Linked DNA regions of Macaca fascicularis. The protein of the gene in region 1 interacts with the protein of each later gene in a biochemical or structural test. Links are inferred from orthologs where the notes say so. Each region holds a gene or a part of one and is shown in the gene's direction. Other genes may lie near its edges.

The links.
Region 2: the proteins of TBP (region 1) and BRF1 form a complex in vitro, tested with the Homo sapiens proteins (2 studies listed by BioGRID). The link is inferred for Macaca fascicularis from reciprocal best matches to the Homo sapiens genes TBP and BRF1.
Region 3: the proteins of TBP (region 1) and MSX1 form a complex in vitro, tested with the Homo sapiens proteins (2 studies listed by BioGRID). The link is inferred for Macaca fascicularis from reciprocal best matches to the Homo sapiens genes TBP and MSX1.
Region 4: the proteins of TBP (region 1) and GTF2E2 form a complex in vitro, tested with the Homo sapiens proteins (2 studies listed by BioGRID). The link is inferred for Macaca fascicularis from reciprocal best matches to the Homo sapiens genes TBP and GTF2E2.

The regions. Positions count from the first base shown.
Region 1 is NC_088378.1:506,202-509,701, reverse strand, and holds part of TBP (TATA-box-binding protein), read left to right. Parts: intron 1-895; coding exon 896-1,299; intron 1,300-3,500. UniProt on the Homo sapiens protein: The TFIID basal transcription factor complex plays a major role in the initiation of RNA polymerase II (Pol II)-dependent transcription.
Region 2 is NC_088381.1:173,470,408-173,474,545, reverse strand, and holds the start of BRF1 (transcription factor IIIB 90 kDa subunit), read left to right. Parts: upstream 1-1,338; 5' UTR 1,339-1,678; coding exon 1,679-1,862; intron 1,863-4,138.
Region 3 is NC_088379.1:8,182,999-8,187,026, reverse strand, and holds the start of MSX1 (homeobox protein MSX-1), read left to right. Parts: upstream 1-1,228; 5' UTR 1,229-1,475; coding exon 1,476-1,944; intron 1,945-4,028. UniProt on the Homo sapiens protein: Acts as a transcriptional repressor. Capable of transcription autoinactivation.
Region 4 is NC_088382.1:33,861,081-33,865,178, reverse strand, and holds the start of GTF2E2 (transcription initiation factor IIE subunit beta), read left to right. Parts: upstream 1-1,298; 5' UTR 1,299-1,904; exon of another isoform or gene 1,905-2,142; intron 2,143-4,098. UniProt on the Homo sapiens protein: Recruits TFIIH to the initiation complex and stimulates the RNA polymerase II C-terminal domain kinase and DNA-dependent ATPase activities of TFIIH. Both TFIIH and TFIIE are required for promoter clearance by RNA polymerase.

The DNA.
Region 1 (3,500 bases):
GTAGTTGAGAAAGCAGCAGCAGCGTTTGAGAGGACTGACTCCAGTTTTGAACTACGTTCTAGCGTGGGTAAAACGCTGTCAAACAGCGTCGTGTGCTACAGAGACATCTCAGTGAAAGGAAGAGTCAGTCCTTGTGGCAAACTTCGTCAGTCTTATTTTAAGAAATGGCCACAGCTACCACCCTGATCAGTCAGCAGCTGTCAGCATCGAGGCAAGATCCTCTATCAGCAAAAAGATTATGACTTGCTGCAGGCTCACAGGATTGTTAGCATTTTTAGCAATAAAGCATTTTAAAATTAAGGTATATACATATTATTAGACATAATGCTATTGCACACTTAATAGACTATAGTGTAAACATAACTTTTGTAGACACTGGGAAACCAAAAAATTCATGCTGCTTGCTTCATTGAGATGGTCTGGAACCTAACCCATAGTATCTCTGAGGTATGCCTGTATCTTCATTTGTAATATGCCCTTCACATCTTTTGTCCTTTTTCATTATTTTATTTGTTGATCTTTTTTTATGGAGTTGTCAGAGCTCTTTATTATTCTGTTTACCAGTCCTTTCTCAGATGTATGTATTATAGGTATTTTTTTCCCAATCTGTGGCCTGCCTTTTAATTTTCTCAATGGTGTCTTTCAGAGAACAGAAGTTTTTAATTTTTCCAAAGTTCAGTTTATCCATTTTTCTTCATGTTTATCCACTGTGTGGTATTAAAGAAGAAAGCAATGTGTATAAGAATAGCTGGTTCTTCCGTAATTAAAGATTAATAACCCCATTATTCTCAGAGGGCGTCTGTCTTTGCACATCTCACCTGCTGTTCCACCAAGAAACTTCCACAAACACTCAGCAGCAGCCAGCCTAACCTGTTTTTCTCCTTGCTTTCCACAGGGTGCCATGACTCCCGGAATCCCTATCTTTAGTCCAATGATGCCTTATGGCACTGGACTGACCCCACAGCCTATTCAGAACACCAATAGTCTGTCTATTTTGGAAGAGCAACAAAGGCAGCAGCAGCAACAACAGCAGCAGCAGCAGCAACAACAGCAACAACAGCAGCAGCAGCAGCAGCAGCAGCAACAGGCAGTGGCCGCTGCAGCCGTTCAGCAGTCAACATCCCAGCAGACAACACAGGGAACCTCAGGCCAGGCACCACAGCTCTTCCACTCACAGACTCTCACAACTGCACCCTTGCCGGGCACCACTCCACTGTATCCCTCCCCCGTGACCCCCATGACCCCCATCACTCCTGCCACTCCGGCTTCGGAGAGTTCTGGGATTGTACCGCAGCTGCAGTGAGTACTTGGTGTTTTATGTTTCCTCCCACTTAGGAGTCCCTTTGAGTTGTGTTCCTGCTCTGTTTTCTGATGGATCCTTTTATTAAGGGAGGGAATGGCACTAACAGCAATTGTGTATCAAAATTTGCTTTATCTCACACTTGGGAAAGGGAAGCAAAGCCATCTTAGTCAGTGCCCTCAGTAAAAGGTTCTTAACAGGTTTAGGAATGTGGTCATTTGTGTTTATATACCTGAGCCAATAAAATTTAATGTGATTTTCACTGTCATTATTATTATATTATAGACATTTCCCTGTATCTGATATCGCCAAATCACAATGTTATGTAGTCTCTTTCCCTTATGCTATTTTAGGTCTTTAGTCACAGTATCAGTATAATTTCTGGCAGTTCTTGTTTTTTATTTTTACTGTGGGGACTGCATATGAATCTTTGAAGGTCTGTGTCCTTCCCACAAAATGAGGATGACTGTTCTTGTCCTAAATGGATTTTTCTACCTAAGTGAAGTGGGTTCTATATGTAACAGGGTATTAGGGATAGGAAATAATTTCATCTTCCTGAAAAAACAACAAATATTTCCAAATAATCCCCGTCAATAAGAAGCGTGCAGCTTTTCATGTTAGAAAGCTTATGACCAAATTAAAAGGTTACTTGCAGTCTCTGCATCTCCTCAGTTTTCTTGTACAGATACCTTCCTCCTTCATACTCCCTTTAGATCTAGTATTTCCTATTTGCATTTATTCACCTTGCTACATATATGGTTGTTGTTTATAAGCTATCTCTGATCATTTTTGGAACTTAGTGGTGTGTAATCGTGGATGCTGACTTTTACCCAAAGACCTAAATCTTGCCTCTACAATTTTGTTTGACCCCACACACAATTTTAAAAACAAAGTAATTTTAGTGATTTTAGAGACAGCCCTTTTTAGCTCACCCTTGTCTGTACCGCTCCCATGTGTCCAGCATGCTTGTCGGACTCCCAGGAAAATTTAAGTTTGCATTTCTGATTTAAATAATAAAGTATAAACAGTACAGTCAGGTGTTTGTTTCTTGCCGTGCCTTTGTTGTTCTGATACTCCCGAGAGCATCCAGTCATCCACGTCCCTGAGCTGCTCTCTACTAAGAACCCTCCTGCGTGGTAATTCAGTGCCCTCTCAGTCTTGTAGGCTTAAGAGGGATTAAGGCAAATATTTCATGAATGAAAACATATAAGAATACATTTAACAATTATGTGATGAAAGTTGTGATAGATGTACTAAAATCTACTTGATATAGTTCATCAGTGGACAAATGCTAAAGCCAGGTGTGTATACAACGGTGATTGGAAGGAAAGAGATGATATGGAAATGAAAACATTGTGTGGATCAACCTAATTGGCTTTACGGTTGTGTATCATAGACTGCCATTCTCTTTTGAACAAAATTATGAGCCATCAAGTTTTCAAAAGTTTTGCATTTTGACAGTATAAGAAAAAGAACCAGAAGCAACAGTGAGCTATAACCTATTGTATTTGAACCTATGTATTTGAAATCTGGACTCTATATTCTTGGGATGGTGATTGCCAGGTCCATGCAAGACACTTGTTGCGCAGTTAATTGCATTCAAAGGACATTGCCCATTTCAAGTATATGTACTTTATTTATTTATTTATTTATTTATTTATTTAAGACGGAGTCTCGCTCTGTCGCCCAGGTTGGAGTGCAGTGGTGTGATCTCAGCTCACTGCAAACTCCACCTCCTGGGTTCACGCCATTCTCCTGCCTCAGCCTCCTGAGCAGCTGGGACTACAGGCTCCCGCCACCATGCTCGGCTAATTTTTTTGTATTTTTAGTAGAGACGGGGTTTCACCGTGTTAGCCAGGATGGTCTCGATCTCCTGACCTCGTGATCCGCCCACCTCAGCCTCCCAAAGTGCTGGGATTACAGGCGTGAGCCACTGTGCCTGGCCAAGTATATATACTTTCATAAGCAGAAAAAATGTATAATGAAAATGTAGGTTTTTGTTTAAATTTTTATTAAAACTTCTAATAGAGTTGCTTTTTAGTATATCTTTATCCTTGTATAAGTTATTTATTAAGTGATGTAAGAACACTGAGAAATGTAAAGGGTCAGTGGACCCAGATGGCTCCGTTTATCCTTATTTACTGAGAGATAATTAGAAGAGAAAGCAGGGTTTTGCCTTTTTTTTTTTTTTTTTTGCTAA
Region 2 (4,138 bases), on another chromosome or scaffold:
GATATCTCGCCACTGCACTCCAGCCTGGGCGACAGAGTAAAGACTCCGTCTCAAAAAAAAAAAAAAAAAAAAAAAAAAAAAAGGGTGGGGAGTGGGGGGTGGGATCTTGCGCATTTCCCTTTTTCTCTTTTTTTTCTGAGACGGAGTTTCACTCTTGTCCCGTCACCCAGACTGGAGTGCAATGACGCGATCTCGGCTCACTGCAACCTCCACCTCTCAGGTTCAAGCGATTCTCCTGTCTCAGTCTCCTGAGTAGCCGGGATTACAGGCGCCCACCACTAAGCACGGCTAATTTTTTTGCATTTTTAGTGGAGACGGGGTTTCGCTATGTTGGCCAGGCTGGTCTCGAACTCCTCACCTCACGTGATCCGCCCGCCTTAGGCCTCCCAAAGTGCTGGGATTACAGGCGTGAGCCACCGCGCCAGGTCGCGCATTTCTTTTTAGACTTATTGCTGGGTATGTCACGGGCCCTATGGCGATTATGAACCGCATCTGCAGATATTTGAGGGCGTGCGCAGCCAAGGTTCCCACTCTGGGCAGGGGGCACAGCGAGGTGACTCACGGGAAACCACAGGTGGCCACGAACGACTGCTAGAAAGTGGGAATTTTAGGAAACAGAAAACGGGGAATAGCGGGGCCACGGGGAAGCTCCAGAACTAGGGCGAGCGGAGGGGCGGGCGCCGCAAATGCGGAGGGCGGAGCAGGGTAGCCCGGGGCGGGTGTCTCCGCCTGCGCGGCCAGGCCCCCCAGCGCAGCTGCCCTGGCCCCGCCCACCACTCCCAGAGCGCCAGCTTGGGTCCTAGATCGCCCTCAGGAGCCAAGGCCCCGCCCACCACGCTCGGCCCCTTGCCTCAGGCCCGGCTCACAGTTCGGGTCGAGACCCAGGCTCCGCCCCCTTCCCCGCCCACAGCTCCAGTTCCCTTCGCAGGCCGAGTCTCTCTACTTGAGGCCCCGCCCACCACCCTCAGCCCCGACCCCGGTTCCGAGTTCTCAGGCCTCGCTCGCCGCTTGAGACCGCGCTCACTATGCGAGGAGGACCCTCCCCTGCCCCGCGTCCAGCTTTAGTCCCCGACTGCGTTCATCGCCAAGGGCCCGCCCACTGCCTTAAGTCCAGTCGCCAGCCTCGGGTCCCGTCCCTGGCCGTACTCACTGCGAGGCCCCGCCCACAGCTCTAATCCCCGGCGTCGCCCGCCACTGAGGCCCCGCCCCCAGCTCCTGTCCCGGGCGGCGCTCACCGCCGTGGCCCCGCCCCGAAGCGCCAGTCCTCGGCTGCGCTCACCGAGAGGCCCCGCCTCCGGCTCCGTTCCGCCGAAGCCCCGCCCCCGCGGGCGGCCCCTCCTACGCCGGCGCGCCGCACGGGAGGCCAGCTCGCTCACTGTGGGGAGACCGCGGCCGCGCCAGGCCGGGAGGTCGCGGCTCCAGTCCTCGCGTCCCCGCTGTGGTCCCGGTGCCTGTCCCAGTCCCGCAGGCGCGGCCGTTACGGGCGGCGCGGCCCCGGCGCGCGCGGCGAATCTGCGGCTGCCAATCGGCGGGCGCGAGGCCTCGCGAGAGCGGCGAGGCCTGAGCGACTGGGCCTGGGCGGGCGGCTGGGCCTGGGCAGGCGGCGCGGGCTGTTCCGGAGGCTCGGGCGGCTTGGGAGGCTTGGGAGGCTCCGGGCCCTGCCCGCGCGTTCGCCGGCATGACGGGCCGCGTGTGCCGCGGTTGCGGCGGCACGGACATCGAGCTGGACGCGGCGCGCGGGGACGCGGTGTGCACCGCCTGCGGCTCAGTGCTGGAGGACAACATCATCGTGTCCGAGGTGCAGTTCGTGGAGAGCAGTGGCGGCGGCTCCTCGGCCGTGGGCCAGTTCGTGTCCCTGGACGGTGAGTCCCGCGGGCTGGCGCTGCGCGGACTTCCCGATGCGGCTTAGGCGGGCTGGAGGCGGTGGCGGCGCGGCCCGGACCCGCGCCTCGGTACCGCCCGCTCTGTCGGGGCGCACGGTTCTGCGTCGTCTTGGCGCGAGTGTGGATCCCCTTGGCGTGAGTATGGACCCCCGTGGCGCGTGTGGACTTCCTCGACACACGCGTGGGCCAGGGCAGCCAGCACAGGGAGGATTGAGGACAGCCTGGGGAGCCCAGAAGGCCCCTCAAGCTGTCCCTCACTGTCAGTCTCTGTGCCTGCAGTTTTGTTTTCAGCAATGTCTGGTACTTAGCATCCGATTGCTGCTGCCCTTGGCTTTGGCGGTTCCCGGGCGGATGCCCTAGGGCCACTCAGGCTGCTGCAGGCCTGGGAGGGGACGTGTCAGGGATGAGCAGTATTGTGAGCTGGGGATGGACCCCAGTCTGTGGAAGGAGCTGGACTGTGGCTAATTTCAGGTGGTTGTGAATAGAGCTGCTGAAACGATTCATGTGCAACTCTCTGTGTGAACATACGTTTTCATTTCTCTGGGGAAGTTAGCTATATGTTTAACTCTATGGGAAACTGTCATGAACTGTTTTGTGATGTGGCTGTGCCGTTATGCATTCTCGCCAGTTGCCCCATATCTTCATCAGCACTTGGTGTTGTCGAGGTTTTTAGTTTGGTTGTTCTAACAGGTGTGTGGCATCTCATCAGAGTGGTGCTCTGTATTTCCCTACTGGCTGGTGATGTTCTACCTCATTAGGATGCTTATTTGCCATGCCCGAATCCTCTTTATTGAAACGTGTGCTCAAGTCTTATTTTTCATTTATCTTGAGACAGGATCTCACTCTGTGGCCTAGGCTGGTGTACAATGGCCCAGTCATGGCTCACTGCAGCCTTGAACTCCTAGGCTCAGGCAGTTCTCCTGCCTCAACCTCCTAAGTAGCTGAGACTACAGGTGCATGCCACCACGACGTGTAATTTTTTTAAATTTTATTTTTAGTAGAGACAAGGTTTCTATGTTGCCCAAGCTGGTCTCAAACTCCTGGGCTCAAGTGATACTCCAGCCTTGGCCTCCCAAACTGCTGGGATTACAGGCGTGAGCCACCACACCCTGACTCTCATTTTTTGTTTGGGTTGTTTTCTTATTGTTGAGTTTTGAGAGTTCTTTGTGGATTGTAGTTACAAGCCCTTTGTTGTATATGTGATTTTTCAAAGCAGAAGTTTTCACTTTTTTGTTTGTTTGTTTGTTTTTTTGAGACAGAATCTCACTCTGTGGCCCAGGTTGGAGCGCAGTGGCACAATCTCGGCTCACTGCAACCTCTGCCTCCCAGGTTCAAATGATTCTCGTGCCTCAGCCTCCCAAGTACCTGGGATTACAGGCGTGCGCCACCTCACTTGGCTAATTTTTGTATTTGTAGTAGAGACAGGGTTTCACCATGTTCGTCAGGCTGGTCTTGAACGCCTGACCTCAGGTGATCTGCCTGCCTTGGCCTCCCAAAGTGCTGGGATTACAGGCATGAGCCACTATTCCTGGCCTAAATGTGGTCTATCTTGACCTAAGTTTTGTATAAGGTGTGCTTCGTAGGTTGAGGCTCGTTGTTTATGTGGAGGTCCCGTTGTTTCAACACCGTTTTTTGAAAGACTGCCCTTTGTCCACTGAAGGCCTTTGCTCCCTCAGCTGTGCTCACTGGGCCCCGTCCGTGCAGGTCTGCCTCTGGGCCTTGTGTCCTGCCCTGTTGATCAGGTGCCGTTTCCTTTGTCAGCATCACAATTTTTTACTGTACCTTTTATATTGTCCTGAAATCAGATATTGTGAGTCCCCCAACCTTTGTTCTTCCTTTTCAAAGTTGTAGCTATTAATTTCCCTTTCCCTTTTTAATTTTAGAGTAAGTTTATGAGTATCTATAGGTCACATATTATTATCTGAAATGCTTGGGACCAGAAGTGTTTTGGATACTGGATTTTTCTGATTTTGGAATATCTGCATTATAATTACTGGTTGAGCATCCCTAATCCAAAAATCTGAAATCTGAGATGCTCCAGTGAGCATTTCCTTTGAGCATTGTGTTGATGCTCAAAAAGTTTCATGTTTTGGAGCATTTATAATCTCAGATTTTTGGATTTGGGATGTTCAACCTGTACAAAAGTCCTGGTGGGGTTTTCATTGGAATCGCATTAAACCTTTCGATAAATTTAGGGAGATCTGACGTTTTTTCTTTCTTTCTTTCTTTTTATTTTTTGTTTTTTTTTTTTTTTT
Region 3 (4,028 bases), on another chromosome or scaffold:
GCCATAAAGCGACAGGCGCAGAAAATGGCCAAGCGCCGACCCCGCTTCGCACAGATCTTGCATCTCCCCTGACCCCAACTCATTTTTTCCTGTTTGTTACTTTCTTTTTATTAACAGCAAACATTAAATCATGTTTTCTCCGAAATCGGCAAAACAAAAGTTCTCAAGTCCCGCACGAGAGTCCACCGCCAGGAACTGTCCTCTTTTCCCGGCCCCCTCCCCCAAATGTGACTTTCCCCTCCAGAATCAGCGACCCAGAGATAGGGACATGTCATTGTTTCCGCGGACGCGTTGTTTGAGGTCACGTTAAGGTCAGATCGGTGTTTTGTTGATGTTTCTGTTGGTTTTATTTCTATATCAAAAGAATCCGGCAGCTCCTTTCCCTGGCCGGGCGCTATAGGTGTTGTGACCCTCGGGACAGAAGTTCAGAGCGAGGGTGGGGGAGAAATACACATGGTGTATGAAAACCGACTCCAGATTCTAGATAATCTTAGTATTCTCACATCCATGGCACCACAGGAAGCTGGCTTCTTCCCGCAAGGTTTACTCCAGCTCTGAGTTAGAGACAAAGGCCCACTTTTACCTCTAGGTAAAGTTTAGAAGATTTCAGAACAGGAAGAAAATGAAGGTTTGATTTTGTTTCGTTTTTTGGAAAGAAGTTAATAGTATGTCTTTCTCCTAGGATAAATAGCCATGCGTATTTTTAAAAATATATAAAAGGAATGTATAAGAAATGACCTCAACTCAAATTATTGTAAAAGAAGAAGGCGGGGGGGGGTCAGATAGTGGAGAAGGCACAGGGAAACCCAGCCACAGACTAAAGAGAAAGGTAAAAGAAGCAGTAGAGGAGAGAAACAAGGACGCGGGAGGTGGGAAGAGTAGCGGAAAAGAGGGCTGAGGAGCAGAGGGGAGGAGAGGAGGACAGAAGAGACTGAGCAAGAACAAGGGAAAATCCCCCGGGAACACAGAAAGATAGAGACCCAGGGGGACCCCCGCAGAGAGGGCCTCCTGGGCTTCAGCGCGGAGGAAAGTTCCCCGGGCACCCCCTCTCCTCTCCTGCCCTCCGCCGCCTGGGCCCTGCCCTGCGCGCCCCCAGGCCCAGCGCGCCTCCGGGAGAATCCCCAGGAGCGCGGCCCAATGGATCGCTCCGGGCCCGCCCCCTTGCGCGCTGATTGGCCGCCGCCGCGCTGGCCTCGCCTTATTAGCAAGTTCTCTGGGGAGCCGCGGCAGGGCCAGGAACCGGCGGGTGCTCCCGGGAACTCGGCCTGTGTTGCAGCGGCGGCGGCGGCGACGACCAGGAGCCAGGCCCAGCGCGCCGGAGCTGGCCTGCTGGGGAGGGGCGGGAGGCGCGCGCGGGAGGGTCCGCCCCGCCAGAGCCCCGGGCGCTCCCAGAGGCAGGCAGCGCTCCCAGCCCGCCCCGAGCCCATGCCCGGCGGCTGGCCCGTGCTGCGGCAGGAGGGGGGGCCCGGCTCTGCATGGCCCCGGCTGCTGACATGACTTCTTTGCCACTCGGTGTCAAAGTGGAGGACTCCGCTTTCGGCAAGCCGGCGGGGGGAGGCGCGGGCCAGGCCCCCAGCGCAGCCGCGGCCACGGCTGCCGCCATGGGCGCGGACGAGGAGGGGGCCAAGCCCAAAGTGTCCCCTTCGCTCCTGCCCTTCAGCGTGGAGGCTCTCATGGCCGACCACAGGAAGCCGGGGGCCAAGGAGAGCGCCCTGGCGCCCTCCGAGGGCGCGCAGGCGGCGGGTGGCCCGGCGCAGCCACTGGGCGTCCCGCCGGGGTCGCTGGGCGCCCCGGACGCGCCCTCTTCGCCGCGGCCGCTCGGCCATTTCTCGGTGGGGGGACTCCTGAAGCTGCCAGAAGATGCGCTCGTCAAAGCCGAGAGCCCCGAGAAGCCCGAGAGGACGCCCTGGATGCAGAGCCCCCGCTTCTCCCCGCCGCCGGCCAGTGAGTAGCCAGAACCCAGGCGCCGAGGGAGGGGGCCGGGCGGGGTGTGGGATCCGAGGGCTCCTGCTGGCCTCCGGCGCCTGCGTACCTGCAGCCGGTGCTAGGGAGTCGAGGGCTGCAAGGCCGGGTCTTGCGCCTCCCTCCATTCCCACCCAGGAAGAAGGTTCCAGACCTCCTCGCCTTGGCCCGGAGACGCGGGTGGGAGTTAACGGATAGGACACCGATGTCTGGGCACCCTGTCCTCCTGCCCCCACCAAACGACCCCGGGGGTCCATGATCCCTCATCTGATCCCAAACTCTGTTTCATCGGCTTCACCCCAGCGGATGAATGTGTGTGGTGCGCAGATCTTGCCTGCACCCGGAGTTTCACTTTCTCACAGTAGGAGCTGGCGTCCCCCAGCCCCTCTTCGCTTTCAAGTACATCTTTGCCTAGAGGTTCCGAAGCTTCTACAGAATTCCACCTCCCCATGCCCTTCGAGTTTGAGGCAGATAGTTGGTGCTTTGGGCGGATGGATGATTCAGGGGTGGGGACACTCAAGTTCCAGTGGAGGGGGCGGGGCACCAAGTCAATTAGGGGAAGGCGCCCTCTTTAATCCTGTCGGAAGCTCACAAATGTCTAGAACTGAGCCATTAAAGTGGACTCCAGGTGCTCAAGGCAGTTCGCTCCAAGGCCTCGCGGCCCCCTGGCTGCTCTGCTCAGAGAACACGCTCGCAGATATTTCAGGAGCACGGGAAATTCCCAAGTTTTCCTCGTTTCCTCCGATTATTTTGCTCGGCATAATAGCAGCCAGAATTCAATGGCGTGATGCTGAGGAATGATTTTTATCTGGGGATTAAACGTCTTTGAAAGGCCAGTCCCTCCCTAAGCCTAATGGCTGGAGAAGGTGGCCCCGCGCTGGGTTGTCGCCGCTGAAGAGAGTGACGTTTCTCTCGGCGCCCGCCCCTCGGGCGGCCCGCCGGAAAGCTAGTTGGGGGCCAAGCGCTTCCCGGACTCCCGGTGGCCTCCAGCGGGGAAGAAGCGGGGTGTTAACACGAGATTTCGTTTGACTCATATCCTGGTGGTCTGAAAGTCCAAAGGATCGTTGTGGGTTTTTTTTTTTTTTTTTTTTTTTTTTCTGTTTGTTTGTGGTGGTTGTTTTTTAAAAGAAGTGTGAAAAAATGTATGCTTAGGCAAAACCCGCGTGGTGAAACATCCTCGATTTGAATTCACTTTCTGCCAGGAAAGCTGCTGCATAAGCAGAGTGTCCTTTCCAACGCTTAGGGCCTTGGGCCCCAAGATCACAAAGTCATAGCGATCCCGGCCGTGTTGGGAATAATTTGTTCCACATTTTATCCGGGGGCAGTCCCCAGCGGACCCCATCCCCGACCTGCACTAGTCCTGCGCTCTAATGCTTCTTCACCGTCCACCCTTGAGGTTTATTTTGAAGTCAAAAGAAAAAGACAGCTGGGCATGTTGGTGTCTGCTGACTATGCCACAGGTTGAGGGGAGAGGCAATCTCAACACTTCCCCCCTCCCCCCCGCCAACACCGACACACACACACACACACACACACACACACGTTTGAGTGGGGCCAGGGGGCCCTGGCGCCAGGGGTGAACGCAATCCAACAGAGGACTGAGACAATCAAAAGAAAAAGTCCGTTAGAATAAAGCAGCCCCTCGTTCTCCACTCCAGATGACACTTTCTATTTCTAAGAGTGCGGGCTACAGTGCACCCTCCATGATGGTCTGCGCTGCTCCACCTCTGGTCTGCGGGAACTACTCCTAGAATCCCGTAGGAGCAAAGCGTTCCAGGGGATAGTGTAGAATTTGATCTGGATTCTATGCCACAGTAAGGCCTAGCCCCCGCACTGAAGCACTTCGCGGGCACTGATAAATGTTTGGCCAGCATGTAAAACTACATGTGCCCTTGGGCTGGGCGCAGGTCCTCTTTCTGCATGTCTCGTCACCTGTATTAACATCCACCTTTCCTCTGTGTGGCCGTGGGAGGAGGCCGGCCATGAAGGCCTTCCTAAGCCGCCAGGCAGCACAAAGGTGATTCCACATCTTCCCAGCTGTTTGGGCCTTAGACGTGGACACCAGG
Region 4 (4,098 bases), on another chromosome or scaffold:
TCCTACCAATTAATCTTTGATTTCATCCTTTTGTAAATCTTCTGGGCCCTAATCAATTGTTATTCAAAGTTACATTTCCTGTGGGTGTCAGATGATCAAGTAGGCTTATTACAAAATTCTCTAGAATGAAACTAATCAAAAAGGTCACAAAATATTATCTTTTGACTTTTTTCCAAGTTTTGAATAAAATTTTAGGTATTTCTCATTTTCACCACAGTCCAATGCAAGTAACTCATTGTAGTAGTACAATGATTATCCCGATTTTCCAGGTGAGAAAACTGAGCCACAGTTTTAGTAACTTGAAGAGTAACCAGTAGTTAAGTAATTCAACGACAGCCACAGAATGGCTGAGCACTGGCTGTACTGGCGCTTTAGGTTATAAGAGTGAGGGAAGGCCTGCCACGCTGCAGGGTTCGAGCAACGACAATTATTTTTTCCATTGCTTTATTTCCACCCATTTATCTGGCTTCTAAATCCAAAATCCTTTTCTAAGACAGTTCACAGGGGTGGAGGGAAGAGGCTGGGCTGAGCTCCACATCATGCTGCCTTTGCTAGCTGTGCTGTCTTGAGCAAGTCATTTATTAATTAGCTTCCTGGCCCTCTGTTCTTCGCTTGTAAAATAGCTGGAACCGCGTTCTCGGAGAGCAGGTGCTGGTGGGTGGCACTGGGGTAAACTCACAAAATAACCGTTGAGGCCGGAGGCGGTGGCTCACGCCTGTAATCCCAGCACTTCGGGAAGACGAGGCGGGCAGATCGCTTGAACTCAGGAGTTCAAGACCAGTCTGGGCAACACTGTGAGACCCTATTAATACAAACAATAACAACAAAAATCAGCCCGTCGTGGTGGCAGTCGCCTGTGATCCCAGCTACTCCGGAGGCTGAGGTGGGAAAGTGGCTTGAGCCCAGGAGGCGGAGGTTGCAGTGAGCCGAGATCGCGCCACTGCAGTCCAGCCTGGGCGACCAAGTGAGATCCCATCTCTAATAAGAAAAAGACAAAAAACACAAAGTAACCATTGAAAGATAGCGTCGCTGGTTGGGTTCACCACATCCCAGCGCAGGCGGGAGCAGGCTGTAGCAGCTTTAATTAAATGTGCGTAAAGAAAGCTGTCTTCCATCTTCCTTGGCACCGCCTCCCACTTCAGTCCACTCCTCGGCCCCGCCCCGGCCCTTCCCTCGTTGTCATGGAGGCTCCAGGACGCCACAGCGGGATAGTTCTGCTCCCGCGGCACCAGAGGCGGGGCACCCTATGACGCATGCGCTCGCTTCGCTGCCCTGGCGCCGCGGTGGCTGCCGGGACTGAGCTCCTAGCACCAGATCGGGAAGTGGCGGGCGGAGTCCCGGGTCGAGTCGTCGCCTCAGCCACCGCCGCCGCCGCCGCCAGTGGCGAGACCCCGACCTGGCGGGTCAGCGCTGGGCGTGCGTGCGGGCAGGCGGGGGCGCTGACGAGGAGCAGGAAGAGGCTGCAGTGCCGGCGTGGGCGGCTGGCCGAGGCGGAGGCGCAGGAACTGGGCGGCGAGTCGTGAGAGGCTGCCCGCCTCACTCAGGTAGGGGCTGCGGCCGCCGGGTGAGGGGCGCAGAGCCCCGTCCTGCTGTTCCCCAGGATCCAGGCGCGCCGCCGCCTCCCGGGAGGCTGAGCGTGACCTCCACCCCACGGGAAGCTGGGGCCGCCGTTCTGGAAGCGAAACACCGAGCACGCGAACCGTTCCCCGGAGCATTGTCTTTAGGCCGGAGGTTCATTGAGCAAACTTTTGGGTTGGAAAGAGGGAAAATTCGCTGTTTGCTACCTGATTGTGCCTCTTCCAAGCCTCCAAGTTCACGGGCGCGGTAGCCAAGCGAACCACGTTGTGGAGTCTGAGGAGCCACGGGGTCCAGCCAGCTCAAGGCTGTGATTTAAAATGATGCTTGTACGCGGACTGCTTTCTGGGCTACCTTTTGGAGACTTGGTTTGTGATGATCCCTAAACATTAACGATAGTAGTTGATTTCTGAAGTCTAAAGACGTTTTCCACAACAATGCTGCGGCCCGCTTTCCGCCCACCTCCTCACTTCCGTCATTTAAGGGCGAAGCAGCCCGCTTTTCATGGCCGGATCCTGAGGTGCCAGGGACACTAACGAGGCTGGGAAAAAGTAAAACAGAGGGGAGGTAGGAAGGTTGAAAGAGGTCGAATGATGGCAAGAATCGTGGGCTTGGAGGCAGATTTCAGTTTAATTTTTGGGTTTTCCATATCTGCCCGCGGAGGAACCAGCCAACTCCTTGAGTTGTGATAGTTTTGTTTAATTGTAAAATGAACATGGTGATGTAACCTGTTTACTACATAGGTGGGTCCAGAGATCTAAAGCGTACTACACATATTGAGTAGTCTTTGAAAAAGGAGGAAAAGTTAGGCGGAGCACGTGAAGACATTGCGAAGCCTTCTGCTCTAGATGCCTTTGAACGTTCCCGAACCTCATAGGTGGCCTTTGTTTTAAAGGCCTTTACCAGCATTCCAGATCTGTTGTAAGGAGCACTTGAGTTAGGAGTCAGGAGGTTTGGGTTCTGGCCCTGGCTCTTCCATCTGTGCGACCTTAACCAGACAGCTTCACTTCAGATTTCATGTATTAAAATAGGAATGACACTAATACCTGTTTGCTCCTGGAGTTGCGAGGGTCAAATACTGTAAGCATTTAGTTTGTTGTAAACTGTACGGCTTTATTTACATCTTTTTTTTTTTTTTTTTTTTTTTTTTTGTGCCGACAGAGTCTCGCGCTGTCTTCCGGGCTGGAGTGCAGTGGCTCGATCTTGGCTCACTGCAACCTCCACCTCCCTGGTTCAAGCGATTCTCCTGCCTCAGCCTCCCAAGTAGCTGGGATTACAGGCGCCCGCCACCACGCCCCGCAATTTTTAAAAATTTTTTAGCGGAAACGGAGTTTCACCATGTTGGCCAGACTGGTCTAGAACTCCTGACCTCGTGATCCGCCCGTCTCGGCCTCCCAAAGGGCTGGCATTACAGGCGTGAACCACTGCGGCCGGCCTATTTAAATATTTTAGAGTCGTTTTTTAAAAGTCCAGATTAAGGTCCTGCCTTTGCAACGTGAAATAATAAGACACAAATGTTTCCTGTTCTAGAAATTCACAATCAGCTTGTTGCCCCCACCTTCTCACTTAACAATTCTCCTTTCTTGTTCTCGGCCCCACGCTTTCCCTCCTCCCAAGGCTGTCTCCTACCTTCCTCAGCGCAGTAAATCGTTCTTTTCTTTCAGATCCAACTCGAAATAGTAATACTGAAATGACATATGTTTTTATGACTTTACTATTTAAAAAATAACACACGTTTTCTCATTCTTACAATTGGGCTGGATGTGGATAGCTTTCGCAGCGTCCTCATTTTACTTATGAAATTGAATGTAGAGGCCTTGTGGGTTGCCTAGCCAGGTGGCTCTTAGGAATTGAAACTGAGGCCGGGTGTGGTGGCTCACGCCTGTTATCTCAGCACTTTGGGATGCTGAGGTGGGCGGATCACTTGAGGTCAGGGCTTCAAGACCAGCTTGGCCAACATGGTGAATGAACCCCGTCTCTACTAAAAGTACAAAAATTAGCGGCGCGTGGTGCTTCGCACCTGTAGCCCCAGCTACTCGGGAGGCTGAGGCAGGAGAATCGCTTGAGCTCAGGAAGCGGAGGTTGCATTGAGCCGATTTTGCCCTACTGCACTCCAGTCTGCGCGGCAGAGCAAGACTCTGTCTCAAAAAAAAAAAAAATTGATACTGAGAGAAGGCAGGTTTTTGATTCACCGTACAGTGATTGTTCACGCCTTAATTGGAATTCACTCTGATTATTTCTTACTAATGCTTATATTTTAAATTTTTAGCTGAATGCTCCATTTCCTCAAATCTAAGCAGCACGCAGACAAGGATTTATCCTCCATAACCTTTCAAAGCTTAGAGCACAGTGCCTCACAAACAGAAGACATTTAATAAAGGCTTGTGAAACCAGTAATAATGGGACCAGAGCAATTTAAAGATGTTGTTCCATGTGTTGTTCATTTAACATTTATTGAGCTATCTGTGCTTAGAAGCTTTCAAAGTATGAGTCTTTTTCCTCCCAGCTGACACTAGTCTTAAC